Tamandua tetradactyla: one gene and its partners. The protein of the gene in region 1 interacts with the protein of each later gene in a pairwise test. Links are inferred from orthologs where the notes say so. Each region holds a gene or a part of one and is shown on either strand. Other genes may lie near its edges.

The links.
Region 2: the proteins of AP2B1 (region 1) and NUP54 interact in binary tests that used the Homo sapiens proteins (3 or more experiments, as listed by UniProt). The two-hybrid records come from large-scale screens. The link is inferred for Tamandua tetradactyla from reciprocal best matches to the Homo sapiens genes AP2B1 and NUP54.
Region 3: the proteins of AP2B1 (region 1) and SLC25A6 interact in binary tests that used the Homo sapiens proteins (3 or more experiments, as listed by UniProt). The link is inferred for Tamandua tetradactyla from reciprocal best matches to the Homo sapiens genes AP2B1 and SLC25A6.
Region 4: the proteins of AP2B1 (region 1) and CLTC interact in a two-hybrid assay, tested with the Homo sapiens proteins (2 studies listed by BioGRID, with this or other methods). The link is inferred for Tamandua tetradactyla from reciprocal best matches to the Homo sapiens genes AP2B1 and CLTC.

What each region holds. Positions count from the first base shown.
Region 1 is NC_135332.1:46,155,822-46,163,371, reverse strand, and holds the start of AP2B1 (AP-2 complex subunit beta), read left to right. Parts: upstream 1-4,541; 5' UTR 4,542-4,637; intron 4,638-7,550. UniProt on the Homo sapiens protein: Component of the adaptor protein complex 2 (AP-2). Adaptor protein complexes function in protein transport via transport vesicles in different membrane traffic pathways.
Region 2 is NC_135350.1:52,982,810-52,989,898, forward strand, and holds the start of NUP54 (nucleoporin p54), read left to right. Parts: upstream 1-4,076; 5' UTR 4,077-4,243; coding exon 4,244-4,310; intron 4,311-7,089. UniProt on the Homo sapiens protein: Component of the nuclear pore complex, a complex required for the trafficking across the nuclear membrane.
Region 3 is NC_135353.1:173,458,197-173,465,422, forward strand, and holds SLC25A6 (ADP/ATP translocase 3), read left to right. Parts: upstream 1-4,212; 5' UTR 4,213-4,296; coding exon 4,297-4,407; intron 4,408-4,997; coding exon 4,998-5,484; intron 5,485-5,910; coding exon 5,911-6,051; intron 6,052-6,579; coding exon 6,580-6,737; 3' UTR 6,738-7,189; downstream 7,190-7,226. UniProt on the Homo sapiens protein: ADP:ATP antiporter that mediates import of ADP into the mitochondrial matrix for ATP synthesis, and export of ATP out to fuel the cell.
Region 4 is NC_135332.1:40,809,589-40,817,411, forward strand, and holds the start of CLTC (clathrin heavy chain 1), read left to right. Parts: upstream 1-4,823; 5' UTR 4,824-4,981; intron 4,982-4,991; exon of another isoform or gene 4,992-5,200; 5' UTR 5,201-5,267; coding exon 5,268-5,309; intron 5,310-7,823. UniProt on the Homo sapiens protein: Clathrin is the major protein of the polyhedral coat of coated pits and vesicles. Two different adapter protein complexes link the clathrin lattice either to the plasma membrane or to the trans-Golgi network.

The DNA of each region.
Region 1 (7,550 bases):
AACATTTGTTCCTCCTGTTATTTACTTTTAATCCATATATTTTTTACCAGTTTGTACATACTGTAGATAAAAGGAGCATCAGAACAAGGTTTTCACAAACATACAGTCACTTTGCAAAAGCTATATCATTATACAATCATCTTAAAGAAACATGGCTACTGGAACACAGCTCTACAGTTTCAGGCACTTCCCTCCGGTCTCCCTATTACACCTTAAACTAAAAAGGGGTTATCTATATAATGCGTAAGAATAGCCTCCAGGATAATCTCTCGACTCTATTTAAAATCTCTCAGCCACTGACACTTTATTTTGTCTCATTTCTCTCTTCCCCCTTTCAGTTGAGAAGTTTTTCTCGATCCCTTGATGCTGAGTCCCAGCTCATTCTAGGATTTTTTGACAGCCCTTTTCAACACACAAAAGTTAGAAAAAGTATAGCCCAAATATCCCTTAAGATTGGGAATAAGATCAAAGAAGAAGATGGAGTTATAACAGAGAAGATAGGATTTAACAATTGAGTAAGATTACCAAATCATTATATTGGTATTTCTTTTAGTGTTCAGTGTCTTGGAGCAGCTAGAAGGAAAAAACCTTAAATTGTGGAACTGTAACCCATACCAAACTTTGAAATCTGTTCTATATCTAATTGTCATGGTGTGCTATTATTCACAATAAAAACATGACCATCACTTACTGGGCATCTGCTAACTAGGTGCAAGGGACCATGCTGGCAACTAATAGAGACTGAGTTTACATAGCATTCTGGTGTCAGCATGGCTAAATGATTATGCCCATTTGTCTACCCAGGCAAGCACTGGCCTGACCGTTGTTTCAAGGATATTTCATGGATGGTTGATAAACTGGAAGACTGGTGTATCAAGTCATCAGTGAGTTGACTGCATTTGTGGCTGATTACATCTGCAATCACCTAAGGTGTGTCTCCCACAAGAAGATAATTCAATCAGCTGAATGCTTTTCAGTAAGAAGAGAGACTTTTTCACGGCTTCTTCAGCCAGCGAGCCTCTCCTGTGGTTTCGTCCAGACCCTTCGTCAGAGCCGCCAGCCTTACAGCCTGCCTTATGGATTTTGGACTCTTCCATTTTCATGGTTGCATGAGAGAGACATCTTTATAAATCTCATATTTACGGATCTCTCCTGTTGGTTCTGTTTCTCTTGAGAACCCTCACTAATACACATGGCTAGTAAATGTAGGATCTGGGATTGAAAGCTAGGCCTGTGTAACTCAAATGCTCCTACTCCTTCTTCTTCAAGTTTGGGATTCTGAATTGCTTGAGAGCTTTCAAAATTAGAAATGTACGCACCAAACAAAAGTGAGGGGTAAGGGGTATGGTATGTATAATCTTTTTTTTTCTGTTATCGTTTTATTTCTTTTTCTGTTGTCTTTTTATTTCTTTTTCTGAATTGATGCAAATGTTCTAAGAAATGATGAATATGCAACTATGTGATGATATTGAGAATTACTGAATATATATGTAGAATGGAATTATATGTTAATGTTTTTGTTTGTTCTTAAATTTTTTAAATAAATAAATTTAAAAAAAAAGAAAAGAAATGTAAGCACCTCTCCTTTTTCTCCCCAGTCAACAGGAAAAACAGTCATTTGGACAGGAGTGCTAGAAACTGGGTGGTTGTTGCCTCCTTATTCTTCATCAGTGTGCTGTGGGGATCAATTCAGTGGAAGGCAAGATGTGGAACTTGAGAAAAGGGATCTTCATTCTTCATATGCTTTAGTTAAGTCACCTGGACGTAAGTCATTACGCTCTAGGCCAGGAAGGACCTCATGTCTTGGCTCTAATACTTCTAAAGCAAATGTTCTTGATGCAAAACAATTTGAAATTGGTATCATGGACACTGTTTATTTCTGAGGCCTTGCAAAAGTTATCTTGGGAAAAAAACAAGTTATCTTGGCGTGCCGTTGGTGATTGGTTGAGAACCAGAATCACCAGTTAATTTAAAATGTATTCATTCATTAAGCATTTCAGTTTTTTAATAGAGGCAGTTACAGCACAATCCTCATGTGCACCAGATATGAACTGCCAAACACCAGCCAAAGGGGAAAAATTGGTATCTTGACTCTCAGGTGACTCCATTTCATCCTTGATTTTCATAAAGATGATTTGAACAGTACAGATAGCAGTGACCAAGAGCAACAACCCTGCCTCACCATGCCAGTTTTTGACTTTGGTAAGTTACTTAACCTTCATTCCTTCTTCCATTCAATCAGCTACTTTTTGAGTACTTATGGTGTTCAAATCCTAGCACATTTTCTAGCTGAGACTTCGGTTAAACTAATTTAAGCCTCAGATTCCTTCAGTGTAAATGGAAAAAACAGTTATGCCTCCTGCAAAGACTTCTTGTGATAATGAAGGAAGATTATGCACACAAAGAGCTTAGCATGGCGCCTGGCATAGAATGTCAGCCTGTCTTTCATTACTCAGTGATTACATATTTACTATGTTCCAGACATAGTGCTTATGCTCTGGGGCTGCAAATCAAAATAACTGACTGCCTTCTTTGGGCCAAAGATGAACTTTCATTATCTTATATCCTCACAACAACTTACAAAGCATGCATTATTTTCATCATTCTATGAATGAAGAAATTGAGTTTAGGGAGGTAAAGCTCAAAATTACACACTGAGTAGTAGCAGAGATCGGATTTGAACCATGATCTACCTGATTACAAAGCTCGTTCTGCCACACAGCCTTACTGCTAGCCAGAATAACATGTACTGTTCATAACTTAGAGAGGGAAAACATGCAGCAAACGACACATCACGGTACAACATATACAAAGCAACATCACTGAACCCTCTGTATACTAAGCCTTATTCTCAATCAAGTCTTATAACAGCTCTATGAGGTAGATGTTAATACTATCCCCTTTATAAGGAACGGAAAACTAAGGAACAGAGAGAGAAGTCCTTGCCTATAGTCCATGCGAATAATTACCACTAAACTCTATTACCACTCTGAAGAGCTAGCAATTTATAAACAGTGGCTCTGGGTGTTCTGAGGAGTGACAATAACGTGCTTGTGAAATCAGAAAAGATTTCATAAATGAGATGTTATGTAAGCTGGAACCTGAAGTAAGAATGTTTGAGGTTGAGGAAGGAAGACAGGGGAAAAGGATGAAGCAGGTAGAGAAAACAGCATGTGCAAAGGCACATTTTCTTTAATGTCTAAACTCGCCTATCTTTTAAGTACAAAGGAGGTCCTTAGAGGATCTGGTACAGAAGACACTTCATTTTGTCTCCTTTCTTTTTATTTCCTCATGTCCTATCCACCCCTATCCTCAGGTTCCCTTTCCTATCTTCCATCTCTCCATTTCCAATACTACAGTCCTAATTTAGAACTATCACCTATCACCTAGACCACTGCAATAGCTTCACCTCCTTTCACTCTCTTTCTCCCTCCAATTCATTAAAAAACAGTTACAGGTTGAGTTTTCTAAAGTACAGCTCTAATCACCTAACTCCTTGGACTCAGAAATCTTTAATTCACCCACTTTCTTCAGAGTGGTCTGAACTACATAGCCAGCCAGCTACCTTTCTTAACAAAGCCTTGGCCTGTCTTTCCAATCTCCTGCCATTTCCTTCCTTTAACATTGCCATGGTCCTCAAACTTTGGTGTGAATCAGAATCACCAGTGGGTTGCTTATTAAAAATATTCATGCCCAGGCCCCGTTAAAATATTTGGTTTAGTAAATTCGAGTTGGTCATTAGGCATTTTTGGTTTTGTTTGCTCGCTTGGGAGAGCTATGAGACATCTGTAGTGTTAACAGGCTCTTTCTGGTGTTCCTACCTCAACAAATTTTAAGAAGCATTGCACCAACTGTATCAACTTTATCTAAAAACTGATAAGCCTCCCGCATTCTTTCTTATCTAATTTGGGAGTCTATTTCTTCACTCAGAAGCTCATTTTCAACCTCAGCCCTACCTTCCATACCTAGATCAAATGCCACTTGTCCTAGGAAGTCCTCCCTCCTCTCCTTCGCCCGTTGATATTCATCTGCACCTTTCTTAAGGTATCAATCTCAACCTTTCGCTTATTTAGGAAGGGCCCACACTCCGGACCATCCAAGGAGTTCCCCAGAGCAGAAAGGGCCATCTTAATCCGTGCCCCCACCCCAATTCCTAGTTCTCAGCGGGATCCTGCTCAAGAGCAATCTATACCGTGGGATGACTGTGCATCAATAGTTCTTCCCGCAAACGCTTGGAACATCCTAATACAACGAACCCGCCTCAGATGCCCTTCCCAAGATACCGGCAAAACCTCTCAGACTAACAGCTCAAGATCGGAGGGACTGGAATTGTTGGGGGAGTTGGTGGGTGGGAAAATTGCTCGGGGCAAAAAAAGCCACCCATCTGGCAGTCAAGACAGATCCCCCGACGCCAGGAAATGACGCAAAAAGCGCCCACTCCACCCCGGGCTTTTGCCTCGGCCTCGGATTAGCTGCTCCTCCCGGCCCCGCTTCAAGGACCTAAGTCACGTGACCCGCTGTTCGCCGCGCGATTGGTTGTCCGATGAGGGCCGCTCTGGATTGTGGGTTCGGGCCGGCTAGTAACGTCCAGCTGAGTGGAAGCGTGGGAGGCGTGCGTCCGCGGGTACGAAATGCTGGTGAGTTCGGCTACTGTTAGCCTCCGGAGGTCCTGGCAGGCCGCCTGAGAGAATCTGGGGCTTAGAAATTGAGATAGCGCGCGGCAGACTCCCGCGTGGGTCTTTGGTTCGAGTCCTGGCTCCAGCCTTATCGCGTTTCCCCTAAAGGATGGCTTCTTAGTCTTTACTTGAAGTTGGCGGGATTTGGACATGATTTATATTATTATTTATTTCTTTGAGGGCGCTGGGCAGAACGCCATAAGCTGGATGCTGGGGAAAGGGCCTGGAGAAGCTTGAAATATGGTCCCTACTAACGTGAAATGTTTGAGGTAACTCGGCCTTATAAATTGTGCTGATGCTTTTATAATCCGTGAGTTTAGGGTTTAGTAGGGAGGATCGCTCAAGGTTTATTGAGTTTTCTCCTATGTGCCAGGCACCGTCCTGGGCACAGTGGTTGTAAGGACCAGTTAAACACGGTCCTGTTTTTTTTAGGGAACTTTGATGGGGCTGGGGGGAAAGGCGGGAAGACACGTGGATAGTTGGTTTATGCTGGGAAAAAAAGTGCTGTGGTAGTCAGAAAAGGGTAACTGAGGGAATTAGGGATTATTTCATAGCAAGGTGATATTTGAATAAATTTTTAAAACTATAATATGTTTCCAGATTAAAATGAGTGGGGAGGGCATTCCAGTTGGGAAGAAAGTGTGCAAAGGCAAAAAACTAGGAAAGTATACCCGATTTGTGTGGTTGGAGCATGTGGTGGATTTGCCCAGAAGCTGAAAGGTAGGGGTATATTTTTAAGGACCTTAATTCCCTGTTAGTATGTCTGGATCTTAAAATACTCTACGAAGTGAAATAGGTATCACGACATAGGTACAGCAAAGTGCTTTCATAATTCAAAGGAAGGACAGATGTTTCCTGCTGGACTGATGGTGAAAGGCTTCATGCATTTTAGAGTTATAAAGGGTGAATTAGTATCCGAGTACAGGAAAGGTTTCTATGGAGGGGAAGGGCTTTCTAGAAGAAGAGAGCAAGTTTGAGGATTTAAGAATAGTCAATGTGGTTTGGTCGGCACATGTTCGAGTTATGGTATTTAGTTAACTATAAATTTGTGTCAATTTTGAAACATCTTGAACACTGGGCAGAGTATTTTGGATTATATATTTCTTGCATCATGGGGAGCCATTAAATGCTACCGAGTAATGACATAATCACACCTAGGTATTTTTTTTAAAACTTTTTATTGAGAAATCTTCACATACGTACAGTCCATCCACAATATACAGTCATTGGCTTATAGTATCATCATGCAGTTGTGTATTCATCACCATGATCATTTTTAGAACATTTACATCACTCCAGAAAAAGAAATAAAAACAAAAAACACAAACATCGCATATCCCTGACCTCTCCCTCTCATTGACCACTAGTATTTCAGTCTACCCAATTTTTTTTGCCCTTTTTCCTCCCTATTTATCCATTTGGTTTTCCTTATTTTTTTTTTTTCACATGTGCAGGCACTGGGAATCAAACCCGGGTCCTCCTGCATGGCAAGCAAGCATTCTTGCCTGCTAAGCCACTGTGGCCCCCCCAGTTTTCCTTATTTTTTTATTTTATTTTTATTTTTTTATCAAATGGCAATTATTTATTTATCAATTCCAACAAGTCCATCCTGAGTTTCTATTATCTATTTTTTTATTAATTAAAAAATTAACTAACACAACATTTAGAAATCATTCCATTCTACATATACAATCAGTAATTCCCAATATCATCACATAGATGCATATTCATCATTTCTTAGTACATTTGCATCGATTTAGAAAAAGAAATAAAAAGACAACAGAAAAAGAAATAAAATGATAATAGAGAGAAAGAAATAAAAATAAATAAACAAACAAACAAAAATCTATACCTCAGATGCAGCTTCATTCAGTGTTTTAACATAATTACATTACAATTAGGTAGTATTGTGCTGTCCATTTCTGGGTTTTTGTATCCAGTCCTGTTGCACAGTCTGTATCCCTTCAGCTCTAATTACCCATTATCTTACCCTATTTCTATCTCCTGATGGTCTGTTACCAATGACATATTCCAAGTTTATTCTCTAATGTCGGTTCACATCAGTGGGACCATACAGTATTTGTCCTTTAGTTTTTGGCTAGACTCACTCAGCATAATGTTCTCTAGGTCCATCCATGTTATTACATGCTTCATAAGTTTATTCTGTCTTAAAGCTGCATAATATTCCATCATATGTATATACCACAGTTTGTTTAGCCACTCGTCTGTTGATGGACATTTTGGCTGTTTCCGTCTCTTTGCAATTGTAAATAATGCTGCTATAAACATTGGTGTGCAAATGTCCGTTTGTGTCTTTGCCCTTAAGTCCTTTGAGTAGATACCTAGCAATGGTATTGCTGGGTCGTATAGCAATTCTATATTCAGTTTTTTGAGGAACCGCCAAACTGCCTTCCACAGTGGTTGCACCATTTGACATTCCCACCAACAGTGGATAAGTGTGCCTCTTTCTCCACATCCTCTCCAGCACTTGTCATTTTCTGTTTTGTTGATAATGGCCATTCTGGGTTTTCCTTATTTTTTAATTCATCTGCCCATATCCTGGATAAAAGGAATATCAGACACAAGGTTTTCACAAACACATGATCACACTGTAAAAGCTATATAGTTATACAGTCTTCAAGAATCGGGGTACTGGTACAGAGTTCAACAGTTTCAGGCACTTCCCTCTAGCCACTCCAATACACCATAAACTAAAAAGGGATATCTATATAATGCATAAGAATAACCTCCATGATAACCTCTCAACGTTATTTGAAATCTCTCAGCCATTGAAACTTTAGTTTCTCTCATTTCTGTCTTCCCCCGTTTGGTCAAGAAGGCTTTCTCATTCCCGTGTTGAGTCCTGGCTCATCC
Region 2 (7,089 bases), on another chromosome or scaffold:
GCAAATATTTTTCCACTCACTGATCAAATCACTCTGGGATTCATCGGGGCATCACTCTGGACAAACCAACAAAATCTCATGCCCTACCCAAGATTCCAAGTATTTATGGTGTTCAATCAAGCTATCTACATAAGTTATAATAGGAAATGCACTAGTCAAAATATAAATTTTGTACCAAATATATATTTTTTGCTTTAGTCTCACTTAAATTATATTTTAAAATATTAATTACCATCTATTTTCAACTCCCAGCAGTAATGACATTCCTTTGTTCTTCCTCATGCAGAAATATTGTTAAATTTGTATATTTAGCCACTATCATTATATACTCAAGGCATTCCTAGATTATACCATCTGTCTTTATTGTCTATCTTTCTTTCTGATTTCATTTGTGCCCCCAGCCCTCTTCCCTCTATTATTCTCACATTCAGCTTCATTCAGTGTTCTAACATAATTGTATTACAGTTAGGTAGTACTGTACTATCCATTTCTGAGTTTTTACAATCAGTCATGTTGCACAATCTGTATCCATTCACCTTCAATTACCCAATATCTTACCCTATTTCTATCTTCTGATGGTCTCTGTTACCAACTGAAATTCTCCAAGTTCATTCACTAATGTCAGTCCATATCAGTGAGAACATATAGTATTTGTCCTTTTGTTTCTGGCTAATTTCACTCAGCATAATGTCCTTAAGGTCCATTCATGTTGTTACATACTTCATAACTTTATTCTGTCTTAAAGCTGCATAATATTCATCGTATGTATATACCACAGCTTGTTTAGCCACTTGCCCGTTGATGAACATTTTGGCTGTTTCTGTCTCTTTGCAATTGTAAACAATGCTGCTATAAACATTGGCGTGCAAATGTCCATTTGTGTCCTTGCCCTCATGTCCTCTGAGTAGATACTTAGCAATGGTATTTCTGGGTCATATGGCAATTCCATACTTACCTTCCTGAGGAACCGCCAGACTGCCTTCCACAGCATTTGTACCATTTGACATGCCACCAAAAGTGGATAAGTGTGCCTCTTTCTCCACATCCTCTCCAGCACTTGTCATTTTGTTTTACTGATAATGGCCATTCTGGTAGGTGTGAGATAATATCTCATTATAGCTTTTTTTTTTGTATGGGCAGGCATCGGGAATCAAACCCGGGTCTCCAGCATGGCAGGCGGAAATTCTGCCACTGAGCCACCATGGCCCGCCCATCTCATTGTGATTTTGATTTGCACTTCCCTAATAGCCAGGGAAGTTGAGCATTCATTGATTTGATGTTTGATGAGGTTTTCCACGTCTGTTTGAACATTCTGAATTAATTATTTCAACTCCTGTATCTCATTTGAATTGTTGGTTTGTTCCTTTGACTGGGCCATATCTTTAATTTTCCTTGTGTGATTCGTTATTTTTTTTGCTGGCATCTAGGCATTTAATTACCTTAATTAGTTTATTTTGGAGATTGCTTTCACTTCTTTTACCTAGGATTTTCTTGCTGGATGAATTTGTTGTCTATCTGTTCTTTGACATTCAGTTCAGCTTATTCTGGACCTCTAGCTTAGGTTTTGTTCAACAGAGGAGAATTTTTCAGTTCTTGTTTTCTTGTTTCTTGCCCTGCCTGTATGGTGCCTTCCCCGCCCACCCCACATCTTAGGAGGGTCTACTTAGGTATAATAGACCCAAGCCAGATTTTCCCAGACCAAACTGGCCTCCTATCAGGAGGAAAGAGTCACCTGCTTCGATTTTCCCTGAGGGTGAGACCTAGCAGGTTGAAAGACTTTCCCATGAAGTTTCTGGACTCTGTGTTTTTCCTATGTTGCCCAGTATGTGGTGCTTGTCTGCCTGCAGGTCCCACCAGCATAAGGTGATGTGGTACCTTTAACTTCAGGAGATTCTCCCTGCTGGGGGCATGGCAGAGACAGTGGAGAGGTTGTAGGATGGCTTTAATCACCTCAAATTTCCAACCCCCTGGGGTCTGAATTCTTTCAGGGAGGGAATCCACCTGAGCTAGGCCCCTCCCCTCTCCTAGGGAAGGCACAGGCTCCAGACAAGCTCTAAAACAAGCTTGTTTATGCCTATGCCTGGGGCTGTTGCAGCCTGAGAAGCCCTGCTGCTGTATCCAAAGGCAGTCAAGTCTTTGTAGAACATAGCCCCCAAAAAAGAAAGAGAAAAATCCTTCTCAGAGCAGGATCCCCATTTCTTGGGTTTGCCAATCAAGAGCATAAGTTGGTATGTTGACTGTGTACCTTCAGATTCTATGTGCCCCCTCCTTTCCTTCAGGGCCCAGACCCCTTCAAGTATTATATGCTATCCGATCCAAAAAACCTCTGTTTCTTTTTTCCTTTTTCAGTCACCCCTGCCCCCTCAGAGCCAGGGCAAAAATCAGCAACCTCCATTTTGAGGAGGTTCACCTGAGCTAGGGCCCTATTTTTAGTAGTCAGAATTTGTGAATTAATTCAGCAACTGGAGTTTGGTTGAGCTCAGCCTCTGCTGCAAAGTAACGTTCCTTTTGTTCACCCCTAGGAAGCAGCCTGTTGGGGAGGGGTGCCGACCACTGCAGCTTGGGGGACTCACGGTTCTGGGGGGGCTTGCAACTGGTCCAGCTGGTCCAGACTGGGGTACGCTGTGTGTCTGGTCACTGAAGTGGCCCCAGCAGTTGTTTTGTAGTGTTCCTGGCTACTTACTAGCTGTTCTGGAGGAAGAACTAAACCCCGTACCTTGCTAAGCTGCCATCTTGGCACCTCTATCTTTCTTTCTTGACAGCCCCTTTCAACATGAAAAAGTTAGAATGGCCAAAGCCCAAACACCCTTAAAGATTGGGATAGAAAGATCAAAGGTGATGGTGGAGTTATATAGAGAAGGTAGGGTTTAACAAGTTATATGACTGCTGAATCACTAAGTTGATATTTCTTTTAGTCTTCAGTATCTTAGAGTAGCTATAAGTAAAATCCTAAAATTGTGAAATTGTAATCCATACCAAAGTCTGAAACCTGTTCTACAACTAATTGTACTGTGGTTTGAAATTGTTTCTGTATATATTTTTTTCACAAAAAAGAAAAAAAAAGTTGATTGTGATGATAAAAAAACATTTATTCCTTCTAGCCTCTTATATTCTGTAACAGCTGGAAGGAAAACTCTTAGACGATGGTATAGTAGCCCATGACAAACTCTGGAATCTGTCCTATAACTACTTGCTGAAGAGTGCTTTAAAAACTATTGCCTTTTTCTCTCTTTGGTTTGTATATATGCTATATTGTACAATAAAAAAAAATTAAAAAAAAAAAAACCAAAAACAACTACCTAGGCTAGAATTCACCAACAAGTCGACCTTAGCCAAGCTACTTAGCAACTTTAAACCCCGGTCCTCCCATTTCCTGTGAAATTACGTTAATAACAGAGAAATCACGTTAATAATATGAGGACTAAATACTATTTCAAGTAGAACGCAACGGCACAGATTTAAGTACTTAGATGGTGCAGGTGCCTCACAGAGGGCCACTCTGCCCCTCACTTCAGTGTTCTCTTTACAGCTTAGAGGTTAAGAGCACAGATTCTGGATCCAGCCTGTCCCTCTGTGTCTATTTCTTCCTCCCGAAAATGGGGTAATAATAACCTATCTCACAGGGCAGTTGAGGATTAAATTAAATTAAAGTATGTAAAATGGTTAGAATCTGTGCCTAACGAGTAAACACAACGAAGTGTTTGCTACTATTTCCATTATCTTTAAGTTCTCTCAACATACCATTTCTTTCCTACCTCTGTTTCTTCTAATCATTCTTCTAGACTGGGTTCAAACACCACTTCCTCAGAGGGGGCCTTCCCGACCCCAACCCAGGTCCTCTTAGGACCGCTCTTTGACAGGACATCTTCGACCCCTACCACCAAACACGCGTATTCTAAGAAGCCCGCCGCATATCTCAACGGTAACAACTTCAGCCTGTTGCATGCCTTTTTCAAAAAACGTCTTTAAGACAGGGTCAACAGTGGGTACGCTCCCGCGAGCTTCCCCACGCGTTACCTTTGTCACGTGGACCCGCCGGGTGTGAAGCCACAAAGCCTCTAGCCGAACTAGGGGCGTTTCCTATCGACCCTCCACCCCTGCGCCCTTCGCGCATCCCGCCTCTAAGGCTGGGCCAAAAAGGAGGCGGAACTCTGTGAGTTGTACGGCGGTTTCCCAGCCGGACCGAAAAACCGTGCGCACGGAGGGTCCCGGGAAGAGTGCTTTGGGCTTTGACTCCCGCGACATGGCCTTTAACTTTGGAGCTCCTTCGGGCACTTCGGGCACCTCTGCAGCCCCCGCGGCTCCCGCGGGTGAGTGGTCCCTTCCGACCTTCTCCTGGGGAGGCGAGGAAGCCTTCGGGCCCTCTTGCCCCTCCTCGGGCCTGGGGGATCCTGCGGTCTCCCGCCCGCGAGAAATTTGGGGGCATCCGGAAAAGGGCGGGCGGCAGTGGAGGGGCGGAGGCGGCTCCTGAGGAGGCCGCCGAGGGGCTAGAGGTCCAACCCGCAGCTCGTGCTCCGTGCGTGGGTCTCCCCAGGGCCCTGTCTTTCCAAGGTGCGCTTCCCGCCGCCGCCGGGGAGTCCCGTTCCGTGAGACTCCCCTCTCCCCTTGCTTGAGACCCGCCTTCCCCTCCCTATCCTAGCTTCTGGGACAGGCGGGAAAGCTCTCGTGGCTCCCGCAGCCGAACTGGATGAAGCTAGGTTTGGGTAGCTCCGGACGCTGCCCTGCGGCTCCCTCTGTATCAGTTCGGAACAGGCAGGTGCCTACGCTGCGAGCCCTTTGGTCCTTGGTCCTTCCTACGGGTCTTCACGCTGCTGCTCCTGCTCTTCCCCACTTCCTGTGCTTTCTTAACTCATTTGGAGCAGTCAGGTTTGTTTCTGTTCACTTCTCTGAAACCTGCTGATTCTTCTAATTCTTATCTTTTCCTTTTTTTTTTTCTTCTTTCTCCTTAAAAATTGTTTTCTTTGTTTCTTTGCCTTCACGCCTATCAGGATTTGGTGGGCTTGAGACTGCCAACTCCGCCGCCAGTGGGTTTAATTTTGGGGGTTTCGGACTAACTGCTAATCCTGCAGTGAACTTTAATATTGGGAATTTCGGTGTTTCTACTACCTCGGCGCCTCCATTCAATTTTGGTAACAGTCTGGCAAGTGCAGGTAGATACTGCGGGTCGTATGTGTGACTAGTGTTGGGAGCTGGAGTCCAAGAATGTTTCGTGGTTCCTAGAATTTGGAACAGAACAGAACAGTGACTTGTCTAATAAAGGAAATTGATTTCCTAATGTCTAATTAAAACCATTTGTAAAAAAAAAAAAAGCATTTGTATCAAGTTTTAACTGTCTTGTTGAATCTTCAAAGATTCTGGGAAGTTCCCTTCTTAAATTTGCACTTAATTGAACTGAGTGTATCTTCCAAATGACAAGAATTTGGAATGGGTTATTATTTTGAATGTATCTTCCGAATTATTAGATTTATCTGCCAAAGTGTAAACTCACCGTTTAGGCCCATTTTCCAGAGATTCTTGGACTCCTGCAGTCATTTTTCATTTTTTTTTCGTCTTTCATTTCGACTTCATTTGATTGTCTTTCTGTTTCCCAAGGGAAACAAGTCTTATACGAACAGCAGTGACCTGTCTGGTTTTTTAACCTGTCTAAAAATAATATATTTCTGTAGTCAACTCTACAGATTAGGATACACTTTTGTAAGATATGTAACTGTATAATTCTTTACTGGATTTTGGTGATATAATTAGAATTATTAAATTTATTTTCAGGTAGTATTGAACCATATTAAAAGATAGGATAGACATCTTTGCACTCTAAAAGATCATTGTGAAGATCTTGCTATCTATTAAAAATTTTGCAAAACAAAAACTATAATGGATTGTGTAAATTTAAAGTAGGTCTGTGTACGCAGTTTACATACAGTGACCCTATAGAAAAATCTTGTTCCTTAGCTGCTCGTATATGAATTTTACTGTCCATATTCTCCTACATTATGCCACTTATGCCCATGCCAATTATATGCATTTGGTAAAGGTTCTTCTCTAAAATTTATTGGAAGGTTTGCTACTTTGAGCTTTCACTTGTTACTGCTATCTGAATATCACGCTGATGTTTGAGTTGAAAACAGTTTAAAGGGTGTTTGAAATTGCAAAGATAAAACGAATGATTACTTTTAAGATATATTTGAAGTGATCACATGCCCCTGTCTTTTAGTATGTTTACTTTTCCCTGTTTGCTTAAAATTGGCACTGGGTAAAACAGAAACATTATTTTGAAATTTGTTTCTGAGTAAAGCCACCAGCTCATATTCAACAAATATAAATAAACCTGTTGTTTGCTTGATTTCATTCTTCATTTGGTGTTATGTTTTATATTGTGGCAATGAAACGGTTTTAACTACTTTTATGTATGTTAATTAACCTAACCTTTTGCAAATGGCTGATAGAAATTCTTGTTTACGTTTTTATTTTGTACTCTTGTAGACCAGCTATAACAAATATTCTTGTATTGTGGACAAGATAATATAGTGACTGATATCTTTATTGTGAAGTCAATTTAGAAAATATCTTATCCTACGAACTTGAGGATTAATGTAAAAGATTAAGAACAAGGTTTAATACTTGAGGTGATTTTTATAAAAATGTTTACAGTTTGCAGCCCTGCAGTAGGACCTACAGATAAATAGGATATTTGGTTATCCCTGCATGCCACATACAGTCTACTTTTGAGTAATTTCCTTAATCAGAATTATATGATTTACAATCAAAGGTTGGTTTTTTCTTATATCTTTTATGTTACAGTCTTGATGAATCTCTGTCTTGTGTACTAGAAATATATAAGATGGTTAGACTCTCAGAAAATCTGCTCCATAACTCAGAGTAAGCAGGGTCTCCAAACATTTGTCTTGAAAGTCTTTTTGGTACCACATTGCTAATCAGCTAAAGACTGACAAGAAAGAAAAAAAAAACACGTGAAACTATTGTAGATTAACTAACATTTCATTCATATGTAGCTGTCTGAAATTTTTCTGTCATAGTTGACAGATTGTGTCAGAAGTATATTTAGCTCTTCTCACTTTCTTGGCACTGCCT
Region 3 (7,226 bases), on another chromosome or scaffold:
GGGTATCGATGTGGGGGTTACAGGTAAATTTTCATGAGTCGAAGAAAATTATTCACCTGTAACGAGGACCGGCTGGGACTCGGATACTTCGAGTCGTGTTTTCTAATCTCACACACCTGCCTTGCACGGGGCCTCACAACGACCGCCAGTGGCACTGCCCCGTCTCTGCATGGGTTCTGCCCACAGAGCCTCATGGTGAGGTGAAGCTGTGTCTCCCCACATTCCACCGTGTCTGAACATAAGGACAGCAACTCACCCAGGAGAGCAGGCGAGATGGGTCTTCTGGAAAGCGCAGCTCCTTTCTGAGATGCCGTTTTCTCCCACGCCGGACCTTTGCCAGCTTCTCACGATCCAGCCAGCCACCTTTGGGTCCAAAGGTTCTGGCACGTTCCTGCCGTGCACGCGCCAGTCCTCTTTGGTTGCAGCCCTTCGCCAGGAGGTTTTGTTGCTCCCTGCAGACTTTCACCAGCAATCTCCGCGTGAGACCGAATCCCTGGAGCAGGGGAGTCTGCAAAGGGGTCCCGGGACGCGTGGCTTGCGGCATTCAGATTATTTCTGCTGCAAATCTCCTTAATGTAGACATCAGAGGGCTGTGGGAAGGAAGCCTGGGTTATGTTTCAGCCGTGTGGCTTTTCTTACCAGAGCAAGTGTGTACAAACTCTTTTGTCCACTCGTAAATATGTAGCAACCTGTGCACGGATGGTTGCTTGGAAGGATACATCAGAACTGGAGACCTTAGTCTGGGTAGTAGCTCTGTCAGCTCCTATCTGGTGGGCACTAATGGTTCAGTCGTTTTCCTGCTAAAAACCACCATGGGACATAGTTTATAGAAATGTATAGTTCTGGGGCGCACGGGTGGCTCAGGGGTGGAATGCTCACCTTCCATGCAGGAGACCCAGGTTCGGCTCCCCTACCATGCACCCCCAAAAAAGAAAAAAGTTATATATATACCTATATGAATTAATATGTGCCTATGAAATGTATTTTATATAAATATGACAGTTGATTGCCTATGTCTGTAATTTTGGTGGAATCCAAATAAAAAGCAAATCATGAAGGTGGAGGGAAGAGGAAGGAAATTCAACTTGGACTAGGAAGGGGGTGTGTGTGGCGGGTACAGGTGGGTCTGGGGGTGCGTTGGGGATTGGGTTGGGGGCCGGGGACCTCACGGAAAAGCCCCCAGAGAGTGTCCCTAAAGGCCATGCCCCACACCCCCATCTGGTCCTTGGGAAGCCGTGTGTCCCCGACTGTAGACCCCAGAAGGCTTCCTGGAGGCGGCGGCACCTCTGCTGAGCGGAGGGCACAGGCTCCCTGGAGGTCTGGAGAGAACCTCAGGTCCCGGGGTTGGTCCTGTCCGGAGAAGGTGGTTGGGGGCTGGTGCATGTGGGGCGTCCCCCAGGCTGGCCCTCAAAGAAAGGGAAGTTGGAAAGTAACCAGTGACACCATCTTGGATACTGGATAAAGGGCTCATGGGGGGGGGGCATTATATGACACACTCTCCCTCTTGAATTTTTTATGGTAAAACTGTAAAAAACCAAGAGAAAGCATGACAGACACAACGTATCTTTCTGTTTTTATTAGGAACGACATGCAAAAAACAATAGCGAGGGGACCCTGAGAAGAAATGTGTCCATGTACCTGTGCCCATGTGTCCTGAAGGGGTTTTAATTACTTAGAGCCCAAAAGGGACCTCGAGGTTGGAATCCTGCACCTGGCAGGCTGACCTGACCCCCCACCCTTGAGGTGGAAATCATCCCTTCTGTGTTCTTTCTGCATATTCCAGCTGCATACCAGGGTCATTCTATTTCAGCATGCCAGTGAATGAAAACTGCCCTCTGGGTTTCTCTTTTTGTGGCAAGGGGTGCAGACAAGCCCTAAGATACCACGTGTGCAAGGAGAGCTGCAGCCCTCCCCGGGGCCCTTGGAAGGTCGGTCCCCGTCAGGGGCCTGCACTGGGCATGAGGTGATACACCAAAGACGGGGCTCCCCCACGCTCAGCACATTTGGAGCAATCAGCGAACACCCAAAATGTTTCAGATATTTAAGCATTCCTCATATTAAATGAGTTATTTAATACAACCCAGTAGACAAAGACGGAGGAGTGAGCATTCCTAGGCAGTCAATTCTCCTTGTCCCCACTCTCAGGTCAGGGAGCTTCATTCTTCAAGGTGACCCACCAGCCCACAGGTATTTGTCTCCCCACACCCTTCTTTCCCAAGTTCCGGGTTTCTCGAGTTTTCCCACTGCCCTTCGAGAAGGGCAAATGGGGCCTGTGTACGTCTAACTCCACGGGTTAGCGCTTTCTATGGATAAGCGTGTCCTGAATCCCAGCCAGCCACGAGAGCCGCCACCTTCGATCCCCAGGAGGGGCCGGGTTCGTCTCCTCCGCCCCCACCTGCTTGAGGGGAACTTTCCACTCTCGCTCACTCCAGAGGCCACGGGGCTTGCTCTGGAGGTAATGCCAGAGGCCCCGCTCCTGGGACCCACCGGCTCACCAGGGAATGAGTAATTTCTTGGGCCCTTCCCAGCCCAGACAGGCTGATTTTGTGGAAGAATGGGCTGGAAGCTTCCTTTCGGCAATTCTCCCAGGCCAGACCCTTTGACCCTCCAAACTGTCCGAGCTGGTCTCCTCCAGCCCCAGGGCCTCTGGAACTTGGCCAGCCTCAAGCCCTTTTCCTTATCTGCCTTATAGGGAAGGGTCGAAGCCGGCTGGAATGGACAAGGACATTGCAAGCTGGTGGAATGCATGGGATGGAAGTCCCAGAAAGAGGGTCCCTTCCATGCGTCCATCCACTCAGTGGGTCAACCTGCCGGGCATACTGGCCATAAAAAAAAAAAAAAGATAAAAAAGAAGGGGGAAGGGAACAAAGGAGGGAGGGAAGGAAAGAGAGAGGAAGGATGCAAAGGAGGAGGAAAGAGAAAGAAAGGTGCAGGGAGGCAGGAAGGTGGGGCTTTGCTGCTGGGTGGCTGACGGGGCTGTTTGACCTCGGGGCTGGTCCCACGGAAGGGTTCAGCCTGTGGAAAGTCAGCTCATGGGACACACGTGGGTCTTGGGCAGTTTTCCATAAACCCAACAAAAAGGTCAGAGCATTCCCAGGCATGCCTGGGTGTGCCTGTGCAGGGGCAGGCCGGGTAGCGCCTGGCCTGCTCTTCCCCGAGCCCCCAAATCTCAGCACTGCCTTGCAGGGGACGAGGAAAAAGTGTCCACGCTGGAGGCCCTGGGACCTGCCCGTGAGGACCATGGGGGGGCTCCACAGCCTGCCTTGGGCCTCCAGGTACTTGGTGCAGGAAAACCCAAAGGTGCAGGCTCAGAAGGAGCCCCCACTCTAACGGGGGAACAGGGCAGAGGGTAGCCCACCCTCCCAGGGGTGCAGGCTCAAAGGGAGCCCCCATTCTCCCAGGGTCGCAGAGTCAGAGGGAGCCCCCACCATTCCAAGGTCGCAGAGTCAGAGAGAGCCCCCACCCTCCCAGGGGCGCAGAGACAGGGGGAGCCCCCACCCTCCCAGGGGTGCAGAGTCAGCGGGGGCCCGCACCCTCCCAGGGGCGCAGAGTCAGGGGACCCGCACTCTCTCAGGGTTGCAGAGTCAGGGGACCCCCACCCACCCGGGGGGTGCAGAGTCAGGGGACCCCCACCCTCCCGGGGGCGCAGGCGCAGAGGGAGCCCCACCCTCCCGGGGGCGCAGAGTCGGGTAGCTCCCACCCTCCCGGGGGCGCACAGTCAGGGGAACCCCCACCCTCCCGGGGGCGCAGGCGCAGAGGGAGCCCCACCCTCCAGGGGTTCCGCAGAGAGACAGGGCGGGGCGCGGGAGCGATAGGGAGAGGCCCCGAGCCCCGGCACCCTCCCCTGGGTGTGGGCGGACGGGCCCCGTCGTCGGCGGTCCCGAGGCCCTCAGGGGCCCCTTCTCTGCGTCCCGCGCGGCCTCCCCCGTGACCTTGAGAAGGTCACGGCCTCCCCGCGGCCCCCCGGCTCGCACGGCGCATGGGCAGGCGCGTCTCCCGGCATACCTCGGGGCGGCGCGTCCGGCCGGAAGGGGCGGGACGCGGCGCGCGGCGCAGCCAATGAGCGCGACGGAGCGGGGCGGTGACGCGGCTCCCGGCATCCCGCGGCGCGCGGGCCGGGGCGGGGAGTGGGCGTGGAATGGGCGTGGCACGACGCGGCGCGGCCAATGGGCGCTGGGGGCGGGCCCGCGGGGCGGGGCGAGGGCGCCTTAGCGGCTGCGCGCTGGGCGCCGCGTCCTTTCGGTGCCGGCGGCGCGACCCTCCCGGCTGCCCGCGCTCGCACCCGGCCCCGCAGCCATGACGGAACAGGCCATCTCCTTCGCCAAGGACTTCCTGGCGGGCGGCATCGCCGCCGCCATCTCCAAGACGGCCGTGGCCCCTATCGAGCGGGTCAAGCTGCTGCTGCAGGTGGGGCGGCCCGGGGCCGGGGGCGCCGCGCGCCGGGGAGGGCCGGGCGCAGGCGGGCGCCGGAAGTGGAGGCCGCGGCGCTTTGTCCGCGCGCGGGACACTTCCGTGGGCGGGGCGAGCCCGGGGCACGTGGGGGCCGCCGCCTGCCGGGGCCCGTGGGCCGGCCACGTGGGGGGCGCGCGGCGGGACCGGCCCCGGGCCCCCTGGATGGGGGGGGGATGGGCTTGACCTTGGTTGACCTTGCCATTGCGCGCGTCTCCAAGCCCGCTGGGCTCCCCCCTAAAATGCTGCGTGTCCCAGGCCCTTGGGGTCTTTTCCCTCCTGTTGCTTTAAGGGGTTGCGTGCAGCTGCGCCCCCCGGAATCCTGCCCCAGGGATGGTGCAAGTGTCCAGAAGCAGGCGAAACTGCTTCCAGGAGCCCGTCGTGGCCTCCGGCTCCAACGACGGGCTTCTCGAGATCGCGGCAAGGAGGACCGTTGCAGGACGCTGCCCCCGGGGGGTATGCATGCCCTGTAACGGGGCTCCCAGGACGCGCAGGCGGCGTCTGTGGTCCGGGAACGCCCTCGCGATCCTTGGCCCGCTCCCTTGCAGGTCCAGCACGCCAGCAAGCAGATCGCGGCGGACAAGCAGTACAAGGGCATCGTGGACTGCATCGTCCGCATCCCCAAGGAGCAGGGCATTCTCTCCTTCTGGAGGGGGAACCTGGCCAACGTCATCCGCTACTTCCCCACCCAAGCCCTCAACTTCGCCTTCAAGGATAAGTATAAGCAGGTGTTCCTGGGCGGCGTCGACAAGCACACCCAGTTCTGGAGGTATTTTGCCGGCAACCTGGCCTCCGGCGGGGCCGCCGGAGCCACCTCCCTTTGCTTCGTCTACCCGCTGGATTTCGCGAGAACCCGTTTGGCGGCCGATGTTGGGAAATCGGGGGCAGAAAGAGAATTCAAAGGCCTGGGAGACTGTCTGGTGAAAATCACCAAGTCCGACGGCGTCCGAGGCCTGTACCAGGGTTTCAACGTGTCCGTACAAGGCATCATCATCTACAGGGCCGCCTATTTCGGCGTGTACGATACAGCCAAAGGTAAGCTGCTGAGAAGGTCGGGAGCCTGGACCTTCCACGTGGAAGCGTTTGACATTTCCTCTAAGGAACGGGGTGTGTGGGGTAGCCATTCCCAAGACCACAGTTCCCTGTTCTAGAGAGGCGTCCCTAGGCTCTAAACCTGAGCATCTGGGACGGGAGCTGTTACTGCGACTGCCATGCTGTGATGTGCACTAGGCTGTTTGCTCCCGTCCTGCTTGGGTGACGGACCCTGCAGGAAAGCCGTCCTGAGTCCTCCAAGTTTTGTAAAAATTAGGTGGTTCTGGGAACTGATCCCTCTGGACCCACGGGCTTCAGTTCTTTGCAAAACAGTTTGCAAAGTTTTGGGCTTTGCAAAACTCTAGTGCTGCCTTTCCCAAGCACGTGACTGTGTGTGATGACGCCTCACGTTGGCTGGTCCCTCCGTAGGTATGCTCCCTGACCCCAAGAATACCCACATTGTGGTGAGCTGGATGATTGCCCAGACGGTGACAGCTGTCGCCGGCGTGGTCTCCTACCCCTTCGACACCGTGAGGCGGCGGATGATGATGCAGTCTGGACGCAAAGGAGGTACCTTGTCTTTCAACTCCGCTTCCATGCTGAGCAAACGCACGTTTCTTAAAGCATGTGTGGAAAGTAAAAAGAGGTGCGCTGCTCAATTTGCCTTCTTGCCTCCATCCTGATGAGGCCCAGAATGATCAAAGAACACACTTCCCAAAAAAAGTTTTGGGGAATATTTTATCAAAGTAGCCTAGACCTGAAGTAGGCGTTCTTGTTACGAACAGGCTTCTCTTCTTGGCAGGTGTTCCTTTCTTGAGGTGACGGTCTCTGAACCCCTCTTTCCCCTTCCTTTCACTGACTCCCGCTCCTGTCTGTCATCCCTGGACCTGGGGTTCTGAGTGGGAATGGCGAAAACGGGGCTAAGGCCTCTGCACTGGAACTCTCCAGAAGGACCCTGTTTTCCTCTGTGACCAAAACTTGAGTTTTCAAGTTGTCCAGACATCGCCATGTGGGGTTTTACTGCTTTAAAGTCCCTTTGGTTTGCATGGTGCTTGTTTCCCGAGGAACTTAACAGTTACACCCTAACTCTCCTTGCAGCTGACATCATGTACAGAGGCACTGTCGACTGCTGGAGGAAGATATTCAAGGATGAAGGTGGCAAAGCGTTCTTCAAGGGTGCTTGGTCGAACGTTCTCAGAGGCATGGGTGGAGCCTTCGTGCTGGTTCTGTACGACGAACTGAAAAAGGTCATCTAAGTGTGTCTGTCTTAACTAGAATCGGGAACCAAGAATCATGTAGAATCCTTCCTTAACCATTATGGACCATTGACCTTTGAGAAATTCCTATCGTTTTTACCCAGGCAGATCAACTCTGTAGAGAGCTAGGGAAAGCTCTAGAAAAGGGGATCATTGTGATTACATTGGACCACTGGCTCTGCTGATTCCATCTTTTGATTACTAGGGGGCAGGGAAGGGGAATCCTGACCATCGTGGGTCCCTGGGTGAGGCAGCTCAGCTTACACAGACCTAGAAACCCTCGAGTCCAAACGCTTGTAGGACCTTCCGTGGTGTTTAAGTATTTATTTAAAAAGAAATCATGTCTCCTATTTGTACTTAAGCACTATCTCCTTTTGCACAGCTGGACATTTGCAATTATGTTTTACGTTGGGCATTGTGCTGCAAAATAATAAATGAGCAGGACACTCGTAGAGGTGTGGTGTGGACTCGCTTTCTTTCCAAAACCAG
Region 4 (7,823 bases), about 5.3 Mb from region 1:
GTCATTTAAATGGAATCACACAGAAAAAGAAAAAAAAAGGAAAGAAAGAACACAGTATGTTCTGTACTTTAAAAAATTGAGTTACAGTCCTTGATAACCCAATATTTTCTATCATGACTCTACGGACTCTCATTTTCTTCTGACTTCATTTCGTGTAAGCCTCTATGTTTCAAGTTTTAAAGTTTCCCGTTTGTAACTTGGGTTTACTCTAAGTAGGTCAAATGAAGAATAATTTGAGTGCCACTTATTTTTGCAGATAGAAAAATTTGAAAGTTCTGCTTGGACTGGGATTTTCCTTTTATTATGTCTACTACTTACAGTTGGATGTTGTATGCAAGTCTGCTATTTCATTTAGTTTTTTTTAAAGAAACAGAATTTATAAGCCTTCCTTAGTAATGATGAGCATGCTCTCATCTCCACATCTGATCTAGTGGCTCAGTTAGATAGTAACTAAAATATAGAGATTGTAAGAATTGTCTGCATCAGGTTAGCTCTTATTTTCACTATGTGGAAATCTTCATATTTGAATGATCAGTGGAACTAACCTAAAACACTTTTCATGACTCTTGGTGCTATCATGGTAACTGAGAAAAGGAAAAACCAGAGTTTAAATCAATAAATACAGCCTCATATGAATATTACATATTTTTCATCACTGGTGTGTTGTGGAATGAAGTTAATTGTATGGTTATATGCTGTACTACATTAAACTCAGTTATTCAGTATATGAGCAAACAGGAAGAGTAAACAACCAGGTTTTCTGTTTATTTTAGATAAACCACTTTTATCAGTTATGACAGGTTGAAATAAGGTGTTAAAAATAATTTCTAATGTGTTCTAGGATTGGCAGATATTCAGATTGGGCTTCTACATTTTCAGGATGACTATATAAAAACTGTTCACAGTGATGAACCTGAGGCCTTCAAGATTCAGAATTACTTTCACATATACAACTTACTTACAAAAGGCCTTTTCAAAAATTTTTACACTGAGCATTTTAAAAAATGTTGAAGGAGTAAATTAGCTATTCTTGGAACTTTATTATTGTTAGCCAAAAATTTGTCTACCAATCTCAATTCTTAACCATTCTGTTCTGAAGAACTGAGGTTACTAACATAATAAGGCTGAAAATGTGCCTTGCTACTGGCAGAACTATCTTTAAATGGTATGGTAAAATTTCACAATTGCTGAAGGTACATATTTGTGGGTCATGCCTTGCTTTCAACTGGGGACAGTAATAATTCTTGGAGGTGAAAAGAGGCCATTCTACATATTTAGAGAAAGAGAAAAAAACCCGCCAAACTCCGTAACAATCATTCCCACAGCCTCACCCTCAGTTGCCACTATCAGTTGGGTGAAATTGCCTTTTCATTCTATAGATCCTTTCAAGTTTCTTGTAATTTTGTTTTTGGATGTGACTTGGCAACTCACTTATTAGGGCCATAATTCTATGTAGATATCTGTATTGATGTAGATAACTTTCCAAGATGACTTTTTAAGGTAATGTTATGAGCTACTTCAACCCTCTGCTGGGATCTGATTTAACCTATACAAAAATAGAGGAGGGGTCTAAACAATGAGCCTAGATTCCAGGCTAGCTCCCCACAGGGCTATTCTTGACTTTTGACTGGGAACATATCTAATCCCTATACAGAGAAAAGACTCCCTATAGATCCTATTGCTGTCCATGATACATTGTAAAACTTGATGTAAATTAGGTTTAAGTCAAGCCTGAGTAGTGAATGAGGTCAAGAGTATATGCTGAGGTTCTTTTCGTATTAAAATAAAAAGGCCATTACAACTTTTTTCTTGCTTGTAAATGCTTAATTTATTCTTTTTTTGTGGGGTGAGGTGGGGTAGTTTTGCCTTTGTTCAATGACTTGTCCAGGGTTAAAATCTGTGGGTACTGTATGTTGATGATACCTGAGCCGAAGGGATATTCATTTTCTCACTGGCCTTTGATAACATTTATTTTACTTGAAAAGATAGAGACTGCGCTTAATCCTGGTGGGATTCCTATCAGTGGCCCTAGCGGGCTGAGATGTTTAAAGCTGTTGTTTAAATGTCAAAACCACTTATCTTACTTGGATGTTGCTTGCTATAAAGTACATCTCTTTGGTTTCACTAGAATTTGAATTCTCATAAATAGTAGGTTAATTTTAAAATTTGGCTTTAATCTTTAATGTTTGAGAAATGCTTTTGTGACTTTCACAATGCAGCTAGCGCAAGCTGTTTTTAAAATGTCAATGTAAAAGGCACGGGTCTTAGTGCAGAGCTGCTTAAAGATGAATAGCTTCAGAGGACTCCTACAAAACACACACACACACACACACACACACACACACACACACACACACACACACACAAATACAGAGACAGAGAGACAGAGATAGAGAGGCCAACCAATATAGTTTTGCTAATGTAATGGCACTTGCTCACAGCACGTACCTACTATTATGAACATTCTGATAAAAATAACTTCTGATAGAAAGAACTTGACCATCTATTTTATTAACATGGCTACCTCACTAAAACATTTTATGGAACCAGAAGTCTGGGGTGTTAATTCATTCACAGCAATAGTCCTTTAAAAGACCATGTCATGTTGGAAAAAAAAATCAGGGTAGCTGGGTTTGTGTTCATTGATTTGTTAGGTTATCTATTCTCATTTCTAGCTTAATGTAGTGCCTGAAAACAATGCCTTGCAGGGGTGCTAAGGTAATTTATCAGCCTTTCTGGGTTCTAATCCAACGATTCACCTAACTGCTGCCTCCACACCATTAGCAAGATCATACTATCAAATGAAGCATCTCCTATTACTCCCCACCCCCCACCCCCCACTCCAATTAGATCTTTAAAAGGAATAGTTGTTTTTGTTTAATGTTTACCATCTGGACCTTTTTCCTCTTGAAAAACTTTGAATTTATTGTTTTGAAAGATATGAGCTGAAATATTACAAAGTGAGATGTTAGATTACAATTTTATTTTTTTCTTTTAAGTGATTTCTGAAAACAATGCATTCATTAGATTTCTATGTACGATGATAACACAGCAGTCACTTTAACAGAACCTCAGTGTACTTTTTGGTTAGATATTCCATGCCAAATATCTATGATACAATCAATGATTTGGGGATTCTAAATGTACTTAAAATAAAAAATGATAGCCAATATATGATACATAGCTCCGTGTATAACAAAATTATGAGACTGCAAGTATAACTTGATAAAACTGCTGAGTGCAATTTGAGTGCAATAAAACTCCCTTTTAAATTTGGAATTAAAAAATTTTAATTTAAAACTTGTCTATTTCCAAAAATGATTTAAAAGCAGATTAATATTAGACTAGTATTAGGTCCTTTCAAATGTTGCAGAATAGAGCATAATTCAACGATTTAAACAAAACAAAATGAAATTTGCCAAGCATAAATATTGTTACAACATGATGGCAAGGCTTTTCTTTGCAGAACAGTCTCTGCTCACTCACCTGCCAAAGATATTCATCTCATCTGCAGTATGGGAGCTATTTAGTATATTGGGCAAAACGCTAGACGCTACTAAAACGATTAACGAAACGTTTTTCACTCTATATATTGCTTAATATTCAAACCAAAATTTTTTATCCGATAAGGTTTTGTGTTCTTTAACTGAAAATAGTAGTAAAGATAATTGTGTAAATGAGCTTTTCCTCAAGATTTTTTCTGGGAAAACAAAACAAAATACATCTCTTACAAACTTGAAATGCACTGGACGAAATAATTTTACCCTTTACTGTATTGGTGAAATTGCGAAATATCGTTACAATTTATGCTTCAGCAATAAAATAGTGGGAAGGATATTATTAATGGATAACGAACGCCACAGATGCTTTAATGCTTATGAGAAGAAACGATGCTAAGGCTCTGAAGCGCTTAATTCCCAAACACTGCTAACCTACAAGCATTGTTGAGGTGGCCCTACCGAAATACACGGCTTATAGTTAATCCCTTTCTTCCAAGAGTGTACATTAACTACATCGAGGAAGACTCTTCATCCTTAGCCTAATTATCTAAATCCTTAAGTCTAAAAAATTATTTGATATGGCTAAAAAAAAATGCCTTCGCTACAATTTTTTGTCCAGTCCTCCAGGTTATTTATGAAACTCACACTCTTTAACGACAAACTGACTGCCAAACTAGGATATATGTCCGCCAAAACGTCCGCAGAAACGGTAAGAAAAACTATTACAAGGCCAGCTTGAGAAAACTTCTAAATGGCCTTCACTGTCTTTTGAGCCAATTAACACCCAAGGAGAATACTGGTTCCAGTTAGAATGCGCGCGTCAGTTTCTCCAAACCTCAAAGCAGCGTGTGTATAAGGGTAGGGATTTAAAAACCCATTTCATTTTCCCTACCCCCGCTCCCGGGGAAATAAGACACCACCTACTATATGAAACTAGGCGGGGGAGGAGTGCCGCAGCAAGCTGCCAAGAGCGCCCTGCAAGGACGTTTTCCTGAGTCACGGGGAAGGCGGGAGGTTGGGCCCATGTACCCACGTTACGTCCTCTTCCTAATGGACCCAGCTTAAATAGAAGAGTGCCAAACGAAAGGAAGCAGCACCCGTACTTCTTCAAGGTGGACCAACCGCCACCTCGTTCTCCAAAGAGCCGCATTCCCCCAGAACCCACTTTCCGTACTGACCGCTATCTGCAGACCGTTCCCTAACAATATCACGTGCACCCGGAAGTACGTGGGTGGAACCCAAACCGCCCACGGAAGTGACGTCGATCATCCCGAGTCGCATGATGTGGCAAAATGCAAAAAAAGGGGGGGAGGAATTGGAGTGGGCTGGAGAAAGTGATGAGTCTAAAAAAGTAGTCCCCTCGGTTCCTCTATTTATCCTAGTGTCTCGACAGTAAATGAGAAGCGCGGCGCACTGCGCCTGGAATTCCTGCGCCGTGCTGTGCCGTCGCACTCCGTGGAGGGGTACATAAGGAGGAGGGGGTGAGTCGACTGGGAGGAGTTCTGTCGCCAGGATCCCTCCGCAAGGCTCAGCCGTTTCCGGAGTTTGCGCTGCGCTCGGTTCCGCCATTGCGGCTCTCCCGGCCCCTGGAACCTCCGCCCCCGACCCGAGCTCTTTCGTCTGCCAGCCAGTTACCTGTGTCCCGGGAGAGTATCCTCCTGAACCCGGCATTCCCCTCCCCCTTCTCCTCCTCTCCCTAGGAGAGTCCGGGCGGTCGCTGCACTACAGCCCCAGTGACAGGAGGACACCATATCCCCCGACAGCGCCATGGCCCAGATTCTGCCGATTCGTTTTCAGGAGCATCTCCAGGTGCGTCTGGTTCCCGGCTGGTGAGGGCTGCGGAGGGGTTGGTAGAAAGGAAGGAAGAAGCTGTAGAGTGGGCGTAAAAGCAGAAAGAGTTGGGTCGGTGGTGAGGGGTGGGGGTGGGGGGTGGGGGATGTTGGAGCGTGGAGTAAATGGAGGAGGGGACGCTATCTTGGAAAGCTTAAAGGTTTTAAGAAATGATTTGGGGATTGGATGGAAAGGACAAGATTCGGGATGCAAAGGGCGATGAGGCCAGGCCTGGTTCCCAGGGCCTGTCTGTCTTGCTTCCTCAATCGCAAGAACTGCGTGTCCCCACTCCCCTCCCCCCCGCCCTTTATTCAGTTCATTCATTTGGGTAGGTGGGGTGGGGGAATGAGGCAGATTATTCCGCGTTACTCTTTCGGCAATGATTCTCATCACTTCCTGGGACAGTGCAGTGCTGTCACCTTCCATTGCTCATCTCCCTTTCCTCTGTGGTGTCTGCACCTTGGAGTTGTGGGGCGGGTGGTTTAGGGAGGAGCAACCTTTTTTTTTCTTCCTCTCTTTGCGGTTCTTAACAGGGAAGAGGTACCTTCTGGCGGTGGGAGAGACGCGGCTTCCTTGCCTTCCGCGAGGCAGTGGGAACAGAAGGTCACAGAAGGTGTAGAATGTGAAAACGTATTTCTCAGGGCGGTGTCTATCTCAGGGTGCATAGGGTCAAGGTTCCTAGGGGAATTTAGCCTTTTTTCCCCCCTCTTTCTCATTTTCTCTAGGTGAGGTGTGGCACTTAAGCCTCTTTTTGGTTTTAGGAGGTTAGAAGGAGTTATCTGGAGGTTATTTTGAGGTCTGCTGGAGTTTAGCAGATATTGTGGTTTCTCATTAATTCCTCCTCCAGGATTGCATGGAATGGAACAGAGCCCTCGGGGTAGTGCATACCTGCTTCAAGATATCCAGGGTCTGTAACTGACTGCCCTTTGGTAGGTTACAGAATTCTTCTGACTATGCCTTATTCTGAAAGCCACATACTGTTGTCTTATCTGGCATCATGCCCATGGCAGTGGAGGCAGATGATCCTTTAGTGGATTAGATGAAATTCTTTTCAGAGCTTTTGACTTCCTGGTTCACCAATCCTGCTTCTACTTGTGTTCATTTTGGCTGAAATAATTCATTCATACTAACTTGCTGACTTCCCAAATACCCTATTAAAGAAACCAGGTCAGTCTTCTGAAGAAAGACTAGTTTCATAGTGATAGAATACACAGTGGTACAGAATATACACTAATTTTAGTAAACTGTTGGACACTTTTCCATTGGAAGGCAATTTTATTTATTTTCTCTCATTCTTATAGCATACATAAAGAATCCTTGTTAATAAAAGTTTTATTTTTCAGGCTATGAGTAACATAATTTCATATTTCTTTACAGGTGTTCTCATTTACTTGCATCAGCAAACAGTTTTTTTCCATTAAGACTTGAAATGTAATGAACAATAAAATTTTACACATCAAATGAATTAGTGCACTTTCTTCAGTCATCAATAGTTTGCAAATAACTCATCTGAGGTAATAGAATATACATTGGCAATAACATACTATTTTACAAAAGATTACAAAAATATTAAGTGATAGATGGACATGGAGAAGTTACTTTTCATTCTCAATCCAAGTTTAATTACTGTGGTTACCTCTAAAAGTGGGGTGGTAAATAAATGTGGAGGGTTAGAAAAATACTGTTTTGGAGTGTGAGGTGAAAACACAGCTCATCCTTATACTGAAGTACGACTGAAACATGACTTTGCACACAAATGTTTGGTAGACCATATATGAGAAACAAGTACAGTTGCTGTTTATTTTACATGGTAGGGGTACAGCCCACTAGCACATCTTCTTCATTGACTGGTGGTAGTTTGTGTAATAGTTTTTCATTTTTATTAAGGAGAGAATTGTTAAGTGACCTTAGAGATTAGAATCCCAACTGTGCTGCTGTTTGAAGACATTAGATACACTCCTGATTTCTAAGTGGTTCCATGTTTCTGCAGATACTTGAGTGAAGCCATTTTCTACTCAAAGATTTTGAGAATAAAGTAGCTTTGCAAATATACTTCAAATTCAGCTATCCATTTTTTGAGAGATACATAGTGCCTAAGTTTAGTGTGATTGTGGCTCCAGCTGACATTAACTGCAAAGATTCAAATCACTGAAGTTTTCCAGGATAATATATTTCCTGACTTCCCATTTTTATCTCCTCCTTTATTTTAATTAACAATTTTGGTCCTTGACCTCTGAGCGTCTTTCTATTGCTAAGTAGCAAAAAAACTTTCTTAAAGATAAAAACTGGGAACAAGAAATGAGGAACTTGTGTGTAGAGTTTTAGCTTATTAAAGTTTCAAAAGACAAATGAACCTATTTTATAGCCTTTACCTATATTGACCAGGTGAAGAATCTGTAATCAAAGCTTGGACCTACATTGAATGAATGTTTATATTCTAAGTTATACAGGAAGTTTTGTTTTGTTTTTTTAAAAGGATGTTTAGGCTGATAG